Caenorhabditis elegans: one gene and its partner. The protein of the gene in region 1 interacts with the protein of each later gene in a pairwise test. Each region holds a gene or a part of one and is shown in the gene's direction. Other genes may lie near its edges.

What was found. The genes of interacting proteins can lie anywhere in the genome.
Region 2: the proteins of F17E9.5 (region 1) and fard-1 interact in a two-hybrid assay, tested with the Caenorhabditis elegans proteins (one large-scale study listed by BioGRID).

What each region holds. Positions count from the first base shown.
Region 1 is NC_003282.8:8,344,299-8,347,093, forward strand, and holds F17E9.5 (DUF7087 domain-containing protein), read left to right. Parts: upstream 1-1,519; 5' UTR 1,520-1,584; coding exon 1,585-1,665; intron 1,666-1,798; coding exon 1,799-2,206; 3' UTR 2,207-2,248; downstream 2,249-2,795. Other genes in the region: lgc-5 (Neurotransmitter-gated ion-channel ligand-binding domain-containing protein), read left to right, coding at 35-187; F17E9.18 (Neuropeptide-Like Protein), read right to left, coding at 2,593-2,742, 2,793-2,795.
Region 2 is NC_003284.9:2,931,517-2,938,242, forward strand, and holds fard-1 (Fatty acyl-CoA reductase), read left to right. Parts: upstream 1-1,844; 5' UTR 1,845-1,857; coding exon 1,858-2,043; intron 2,044-2,088; coding exon 2,089-2,217; intron 2,218-2,262; coding exon 2,263-2,388; intron 2,389-2,432; coding exon 2,433-2,492; intron 2,493-2,549; coding exon 2,550-2,624; intron 2,625-3,781; coding exon 3,782-4,095; intron 4,096-4,151; coding exon 4,152-4,248; intron 4,249-4,795; coding exon 4,796-4,938; intron 4,939-4,986; coding exon 4,987-5,244; intron 5,245-5,296; coding exon 5,297-5,519; 3' UTR 5,520-6,226; downstream 6,227-6,726.

The sequences.
Region 1 (2,795 bases):
CACCATGATTTGAACATTAATTGATATATTTTAGACTGCGTTTCTTGTTCGTGACACTCTGCAAGAAATGTCTCGCATTAATGAAAATCAGTTGCTCTGGCTCAAAATTCTGGATAAAACTGATCTAATGTGTCTTATTCTGTTTCAAGTTGCCAATGTTGTAATAACAATTGTATATTGGAAATAAAAATCAAAAATAACTTTCAATAAATTTATATTTACCCGTTTAAAAAATTTGATCAATTCATAGGGATAGATAGTCCTAGTGGCAAAAATTGGGTACTTGTTTGACAGTAAATTAAAAAATATTTAAAACGTCTCTAAAGCACCCTCAAAACAAATGATCGGTTTTAGTGAAGAATAATTTATATTAACAACTTTCCTGCGCGAGAACATGGAATGTTTGGACTTTTTTAGAGTATTGTTTTCTGCGGGGTTGACAAATTTTCAAGAGTCCCTAGGCCTTCTACAGTGCCGGCCATAATTCTATCCAATTTTAGTTTTTTGACAATAACTTGTTTCAAAGTGATTCGTTTGAGTTGAAAATTCACTATAATATGAAAATGATCAAAACATAACTATTACTGCAAGAATTATAAAAAAAGCAAAATTTAAAAAAATTTCGGGGAATTTTCAAAAATTCGAAAAAGTGAAAATTATCTAAATTCTGAAAATAGGTTCTTTGTGAACTGGATCGGTTTTATCTGTCTACGAAACTGTCATTAAACTAGTAAATGAATCTTTGTGAATTTATTTTTGGCAATTAAAACTTAGGTGTCACGTGACAACAGACCATAAGCTTACCTGCAACTTGCAAGTGCTTGAAAATGGAAGAGTCTTTCTATTTTCAGTCATTGTGGCTATGAAATCAGTCTCATTCATTTTTAAATTAGGTTTTCTACATTGTTCAAGACTATTCTATTGATTTTGTATAATGTTTCTATCTATCTCGCTGGATATAAGCATCGCAGAGACACTCAGTGCTTACCAAGTATGTCAATTTTTGTCTTTGCCGCCTTGGTAAAGCTACCCTAACCCCCTTTTTTTCTAATGTGTGCAAAAAGTCAAGCAGTCAGAGTGAGGGATGGTAAAGCTATCGCACCTGCAGCAAACTAACTTCAAAATAAATTATGGTTTTATAAATTAGGGTAAATTAGGTTTTGGTTTTCTCAAATGTTTTTTTTCCGCAAACGTTATTGGATTTGGCCTATATATATTCTCCAGGCCAACTAGAAAGCATTCAGCTGGCTAAAAACACGCGGTTATCGGTATATTCATAATTGAACAAGGCTTCCCTCAAGTGACTAAAAAAGCTTGTTTAATTACATGAAACGGATGAACTAGAAATTCTTTAATTTCTTTTTCGATGACCGTGATGTTTTACTTTATTTCAAAAATAATTCCAAAAAACATCCAGAAACTTTTTTATAAAGGTTGTTTTTTCTCCGCTTCAACCTCGACCTTTCTTTATCTCCACGGTCAATCTGCCCTAGATCCGTCCGTATAAAAGATCGGAAAATGTGTAATTCAAATCAGTCTCTGCTCGAATCACCGATTCTCTACTCACTCGACTACTTCTCTGCAATGGATCAAATCCCACCGTACGAGTTCAATAAGTACGTGCTCTACGCTCGTGGTGCCGTCATCGTGTGTGCTTCATTTGAGGTTCGTTCTGTGCCGTTCGTGGTCCTCGGAGGACTGGTCCTGGTTTTTAAGGGCTGGCCTCTAAAGACTTGTCCTGGCTCTTGGTCTTTTGCCCGTTTTCCAGAATGTATAGAACATCATGAAATATTTGCAGCTCCTGATGGTTCTGTTCGGTTCCCTCGGCGATTGCAATTTCCTTGCCAAGCTATTCTACTTCATCTTCCTCGGTGGAGCAGTTGCCGTCTCATCGCACAACATTGCTCTCAACATTGATGGTCGCGAGGAGATCAACAAGGTTCTTACCTCGTCTGACAATGAAGTTCGTGGAAAGTCTGCCGCATTGGTTCTTGTCCCAGCTCTTGCTGGTATCTTCGTCTTCTTGTGTGTTTCTGGGCATGCATTCTTCTCACTTTTCGTGCTCATCCACGTGCTCGCCGCTGTTGGACAACTCGGAATTGAAGCTTATGAGTTCAAGAAGGGACAATCTGGAGCTCCAGCACAAGACCCAGCCGCCACTGCACCACCAGCCCAGGATCCAGTTGCAGCTCCACCAGCACAGTAGAAAGAATACTTGGGGGTTTTTGAAATAAAAGTTTTTACTTGCTCTTTTTGATCAGGAATGTAATCTGCAAATTCTGCTAGACTCGGTCGCCAAAAAACCTGGAAAAACTAAGTGCTCTTTTCTACTGTAGTTTCAGAAGAGTGAGCATCTTGTTGTAAGAGTAATATTTTGTTGTGGTTAGTCCGAAGAGAGGCTTCTGTGATTACTTAAAAACTATCGTAACTATCAACTTTTTGAGCAAATACTGGGTTATTGGAGTACTTTAGTATGATTGCTGTTCGTTTCGCTGGGTTATTTCAAGGATTCTCGCAAACTGGAATAATTCAAACACTTTCTAAATGCTCAATAATCTTTATTATTAGTTCCAACTCCAACAAGAGAAACATTCATTTTCTTCCCCATCCAAGTGGAGTCGGTGGACGATAGATGGTATGTCTTGCATTTGCAGATGGGATGAAATTGAATGAACTTGGCTGAGGAGCTCTTCTAGCTGGGTTGAACAGTGATGGTAGAATTTGATTAGTTGGAATGAATTGCTGTAAAGTATTATACGTTTCTTTTGCTTGAAAGTTTGAAATCAGCCTACCGC
Region 2 (6,726 bases), on another chromosome or scaffold:
AAATGTGTGAAATAGTGTTGTATTTTTAGGCTTGTGAAAAACCCCTCTGTAGAATAAAAATCTATGTCACATTCCATTTGGAAAAATCAAAAAAAAAAAAAACTAAATGTAATTTTAAAATTGTGGAGTATTTAATACACAGGTATTCAAACTGTTTGATTAAATAATCATTAAACTAGAAATTTTTAAAAATATTATTTTTGGGTACGGCTACTTTATGAGCTCGCCCGTAGTCATAAAAGGTAGATAACTAAACATATTCGTTTTTTCAAAATTTAACATTGACAGATTTCATTTCGATTTCATTTGAAACTTTGCTCTTCCGTATTCATTGTATTTTCGTAATTGGAAATCAAACGGCTGTCAAAAGCGTGGCTGTCTTCGGCACCTGAACACGAGTTTTCTTGAATGAGTCTATCAAATTTAAACTTTGCGTCTAACAGCAATTAATTATTAATGATTTTTCCAAACACCCCACTGCAAAGTACAGGGAAAATTTTTTATCAGTTTCACTCTTTTTTTTTGCAATTGTTTTTCAATAGCTTTTCCGTGGTGTGAAAATTACCGCCTTTTCATGTTTCCCAATGTGTTTAAGGAATGGAAGAGGTATGGCGTGATCAGTCATTGATAATTTCAACTTGGCATTTATCAGTGTGTGGACATTGTCCCCGCTGGTATATGTACGTAGGTCGCAAGTGCATCACGCCTCTTCTCTTTTCTTGACAGGGCTCGCTGAGCACAATAGACTCCAACCGTGCAATTGTTTCAGCGTTTTAGGTTTTACTAGGTCAAAGTCTGGCTGTTTCCAAAATAAAATATATTTCAAAGTCAGCTTCACCCGTCGATTTCTCGCTTTCGTTTTTTTTTATCGAACTGTCACGTTTTCGTGTAGGTTTTTGCACAATTATTGAATTTTGCGCTCAAAAAATTTGAAATTTCAATTTAGGTATATTTATCAACATTTCCCAAGTGATAACAATTGTTGTCTAGCCCTACTAGCTTATTTTGCAGTATTATTTCCTATAATATATTTTTTAAAGCATATCATATTTTCCCAAATGTTGCGACACTTGAAAGACATAATACGCCATCCGCTTTCGCTGATTTGTAAATTTTGTACATGGCTGTCTATCAATTCCTGCATTAGGCTCTTATTCTCGTTTTTCTTGGTGCGTATTGATAGCGATAAAACGGCTGATAGTCGAGTGATACCCCTTCTTTACTTTTTTTGTTGGCTCTTCATCTATTCGCCCATCTCCACAAGTTTTTTTTTCAAATAGATATTTTGCATGTATTGTGAACTGTCAAATTAATAACAGATTTTTAAAAAAAATTCTTGTATCCTGTCACGTGTATAACATCCTGTCATTTTTAAAGGAGGTGTAATGGCTGTGGTTATTTTGGTATAGTCCTACGATATGCTGAAATACAGGAATTTTATAATGAAAGTTCTCAAAAAATTTTCAAAAATTTTTTATGGCGGTTCAAAATTTCAAAAAAAATTAAAGGCTCAATTTCAGCTAAAATCTCCAGTTTTGGCAACTTTTCCGTGCCGCAGCAGCTTGAAAATGACTTTTTTGAATTATCGTCTTTTATTGCTTATTTCGGTTGTTGGGCTCCTGTTTGTTGTAGGATAAAGTAGATTTTAAGCCGATAGGTAACCAAAAATTACAAAAGATCCGCATTAAAAAATTTAAAAAATTAAACAATTTTTTTTGAGCAATTTTATTACAAATTTTGTTCACTTTAGCACATTACAAATCTATAGGTTCAAAATATCCAGAAACCGTTGATCCTTCTTCAATTTGAAAGGCAAATTTTATTATTTAAAACCCAAGTTTTAGGTAACAAAAACGCATGGCTTTTTCTGTAAGAGACGTCTATGCAGGCAGCTCCGTGCTGCTCACGGGAGGTACTGGGTTTTTGGGAAAGGTGATTGTTGAGAAGTTGTTATGGACTATTGATGACATTCAAAACATCTATTTGATGATAAGAACAAGAAAAGGGAAGAATCCGCAAGAAAGATTGTCAGGTCTTCTTCATGTAAGTATTTTGATTATATTTGGAATTTTATTTAATAGTTTTTAGGATCCCCTTTTCAATCGCATTCGCCAAGAGAAACCAGAAGCATTTGACAAATTGAAAGCAATCGGTGGAGATATGATGGTGGAAAATCTAGGAATGGATCCTGAAGATGTGATGCTCATCCGAGACAATGTGAGGGAGTACAATTCTCAATTTTTCCAACTTTTTAATATTCAGGTCAACGTAGTGATCCATAGCGCGGCGACTGTCAAGTTCGACGAGCATCTAAGAGCAGCAGTCACCATGAATGTCATTGGAACCAAACGAATCATTGATCTCTGTCATCAAATCAAAGATCTCAAAGTAACAGAGAAAACAACGTGTCTCAGAAAAATTGTATTTTTAAGGTATTGGTGCATGTGTCAACTGCATATGCAAACTGCGACAGGTTTGAAACAACGGAAAAAGTGAGCGTGAAAAATTGAACATTGTAGAATATCAACTAAATTTCTGGAAATTTACAGATTTACAAGTCACCAATGGCTCCACAAAAACTTGTGGACGCTCTTTCGTGGATGGATGACGAAACATTGACTAAAGTAAGTTTTGATATTAGGTGGTGGCAATTAGACCTTGGTCAAAATGTATGACTTTTTGTGGCATATCGATTTTTCTGAAAAAAAGTTTGGCGACTCCAGGTATCCTAACTCGGAGCCACATTTTTTAGGCTTCACCCAGATTCGTGTATTTTAAACTTTTGTTTGAAATTTATGTGCGGATTTTGCTTAATTTAATATACCGTATATTCTCTATTAGAGCGGCGTATCTAATAGTACGGCGTATCTATTAGAGCGGCACTCTAACTGGCTCTTCGAAAATTAGAGCGGCAGTCTCTATTAGTGCGGCACCCCTTTTTTTGGGTGCAAGAGCCACATCAATTATTCGATTTCTTCGAAGATATTTTTGTTCATTCTTGAATGAATTTATAAATTTTCATTTAAATATTGAATTTTAGTGTCTTTGTGAGGCAAAATTACCCAATTTTCATGAATTTTTCCATAAAATATGAGGTTTTATAAAGAAATTTTGAGGTTACTACTCCCAAAAGTAGTAACTTCAATATGAAAATTAGTTATCGAAAATTAGTGCGGCAGTATCCAGTAGAACGGCAGTCTCTAATAGAGCGCACGTCACGAAGGGCCGGGAAATTAGTGCGGCATGCCGCTCTAATAGAGAATAGAGAATACACGGTACAAGGAAAGAGGACAGATTTGTCGAAAAATGTATTCGAAAAATAGATTAAAAAATAGACAAAGCAATTTTTTTAACTTTTTTAAAACTAATTTTTTTTTCGATTTTTATTGTTATACAATCACATTATACACTAAATCGAGCGAGAGCCGCGCATAAATCTAAAAATAAAGTTTCAAAAAACCAAGATCGAGTGGAAGCCTAAAAAAGCGGCTCCGAGCTAGAATACCTGGAGTCGACATATTTATTTGAAAGTACCGTCACATCACAGGTAATGTGGTTGATACCATAAATTCCCAGATTTTCAGAAATATCGATGCGGAACAAAAAAAACTCATTGCCACCCCTACTTTATTTTGATATTCATAGAAAAAAAGGAGATTAATTGAAAAATGTTGAAAGTGTAAAAATTCAACAACAAAATTCAGAAATCCTATTTAAAATGAAAATAATTCTTTTTGCGTTATTGATATTACCAAAGTTACCCGATATTTAACATTTTCAGATTACACCTAAAATACTTGGCCTCCGTCCAAACACCTACACTCTGACCAAAGCTTTAGCAGAGTCCACAATCGAAACCGAAGCAAAGGATATTCCAGTCATTATCATTCGTCCTTCGATTGTAGGAGCAATGTGGCAAGGACCGCTTCCAGGATGGACTGACAATATCAATGGGCCGACTGGAATCTTTGCTGCTGTAGGAAGAGGTGTTTTGACAAACATGTGTGGGAGCAGTGAATCAAAAGCTGATATTATTCCCGTTGATATTGTGGCTAACATGATAATTGCGTCAGCTTCATATAGAACATCGATCAAGTGAGAATAGTTTTAAACAAACTGTGAATTGTTTAAAATTTTGTTTTTTGTTTCAGCACGACAGAAATTCCTGTGATCCACTGTTCATCTGGTGAATTGAACCCTCTCTATTGGGGTCATATTGTTTTATTTTTGGAGCAATTCTACAAAAAGGTTAGTCAGAGTTTTATATAATAATATCTCCATTAAAGGAGGAGTACTGGTTATAAGTATTTAGCTTAAATAGACTTAAACTGGTTCAAAACGTCTTCATAATGAGACTTCACAAAAAAATTTCCAAAAATTTTTATGGCGGGTAAATAATAATAATATCAAAATAGAACCAAATTTTGCTAAAATATAAAAATTCGCAGATTTCTTTCATTAGATGAACTACCAAAATATGCATTAAAGGAGGACTAACGGTTTGGACGATTTTGAAAAAAAAAAAGGCCCAAAATAGACGGCAAACATTTTTTAAACGGCATTCAAGCTACTACCACGTAGAAAAGTTAACGAAATTTTAGAATTTAGCAAAATTAGTCTTTTTTTTCCAACATTTTGAGCCTTCATAAAACTATTTGTCAAAAATTTTTTTTGAGAAATCTCATTTTGAAATTTGGTCAATTTTGGCCAGTTTTAGTCAATTTTAACTAAATACCCACAAACTCTACTCCCCTTTTAAATAGTACTCTAATGTTTTTTTTAAATATATTTTCAGTATCCCATGGAGCAATGCTTCGCAGTTCCATCCACATATTTCCACAAATCACGTTCACTATTCCTTATAAACTATTATATCAAGCATCATATACCTGCTGCCATCTCAGATATTTCTGCTCGTCTTATAGGAAAGCGAAAAAAGTAAGTCATAAACGACGGAGAACAAGACCTACATAAATTTCTTATCAGCAATGTGAAGCTGTATTCGAAAGTGTGGAAAATGATTGAAACTCTACACTTTTTCACGACTCGCGGATGGAGTTTCAATGCACGTGGACTGCCAGAATTCTTTGAGAAAATGACACCCGCAGATCAAAAGGAGTACAACTTTGATGTTCGCCAAGTGGATTGGAACTCGTATTTATTCGATTATGTAATGGGTATCAAGAAGTTCCTTTTGAAAGAAAATCTGGAGAATCTTAACAGATCGAGAGCACATCTTTTGAAGTCAGTGATATTATTCAATATTGAAAAGTTATGCTGAATAATATTATTTCAGAATGCGCATTCGACGCCAAGTAATTGCAGCAATAGTTTACGCAGGATTTATCTCTACAATTGGAAGAAAATGGAAGAAGACTACTCAATATCTGACATGGTTCGGTGCTATGTTGGCAACATATACATACACTGAAGTCAGTTTCAGACGGCATATTCCTCTGAAATCATTGAAAGATTACACACAAACGTCGGATTATTCTCGGTATCTTCAAAAAAGCTAGAATCTTTTCAATGACGTCATTCAAATTTATTTTTCTTTTTTTTTGTGTGATTTTTTTATCTTTAAAAATTGATAGGATCAGAATCAAAAATCAGACATACAATCGTTATATTGTTTCAAAATATCAAGGTCGATAGTGTGTCTGTTGATTGTGATACGCACTCTCTCATCAACAATAACTTTTTTTCATTGTTATTCTCCGCTTAAAGGAGGAGTAACGGTTCTGGGTGTTTTGAACGAATAAATAAAATATATGACACTTCTCGTATTTTTTCCAAAAATTTTTTATGGCGGTTCAAAATTTTGACTCAAATTTAGCGAAAATCTCTAATTTTGGCCTGAAATTAAACTTTTGAATTAACGAAAAATGTGACACGGAATAGAAGCCAAACATTTTTTATGGAAATTTTGAAGCACGATAAAAAATATTTAAAACATTTTTGAACTCATTGCGGAATTTGTTCAAGGAGCACATTTTGGGTATATACGTTTCAAAAAAAAAACCCATAACCGTTACTCCTCTTTTAAAATTTACACATGCCTATTTCCGACAACGCTTTATATCTTTTTTTTTAATACTGCAATTTTTTTCACCAAATCTTCCATCTTCAATCACCTCCAAGTTTGTTTTCTACTTGTTATGAGCGAAAGACCAGTTTTTTTCTCGTTATTCATTTTATGTTTGACAATAAATAATGGTCAGTTCCACTTTAAATATTTATTTTTCCTATCAGTTTTGTTTCATGGCTAACCACAATCACAGTGGAGACTAGTAAACATTCGCAAATAGAAAAAAAAAACAACATCGGTGGCTCTTCTCGTTTTCTCGTCAATGGTTAGTAGGAAAAGATGAGAGTACTTTTGCTCGATGTGAGTGCGTGATATTTTAAAATGCGTGTTATTTTTAGAATTCATATCTTTTGATGAAATTATGAAAAGGAAAATGTACTAAGTTCGACGAATTCGGCAAATTTGCCGTGCTTAACAAACTCCGAAAAATTTGATGTTTTTGGAGAACCAATACTACTGAATTCTTAACACACATTGTGTCATTTTACAAAATTTTTGGGCAAATAATCAATAATTTTGGTCAAAATAGTATTGCCCAACTTTTGATGTGTGCTGCAAATTTCGAAGTTTGCCGAGTTCGGCAAATTCGGCAAATTTTTTTTCGGCAAACATGGCGAGCGCGGCAAACGGCAAATTCG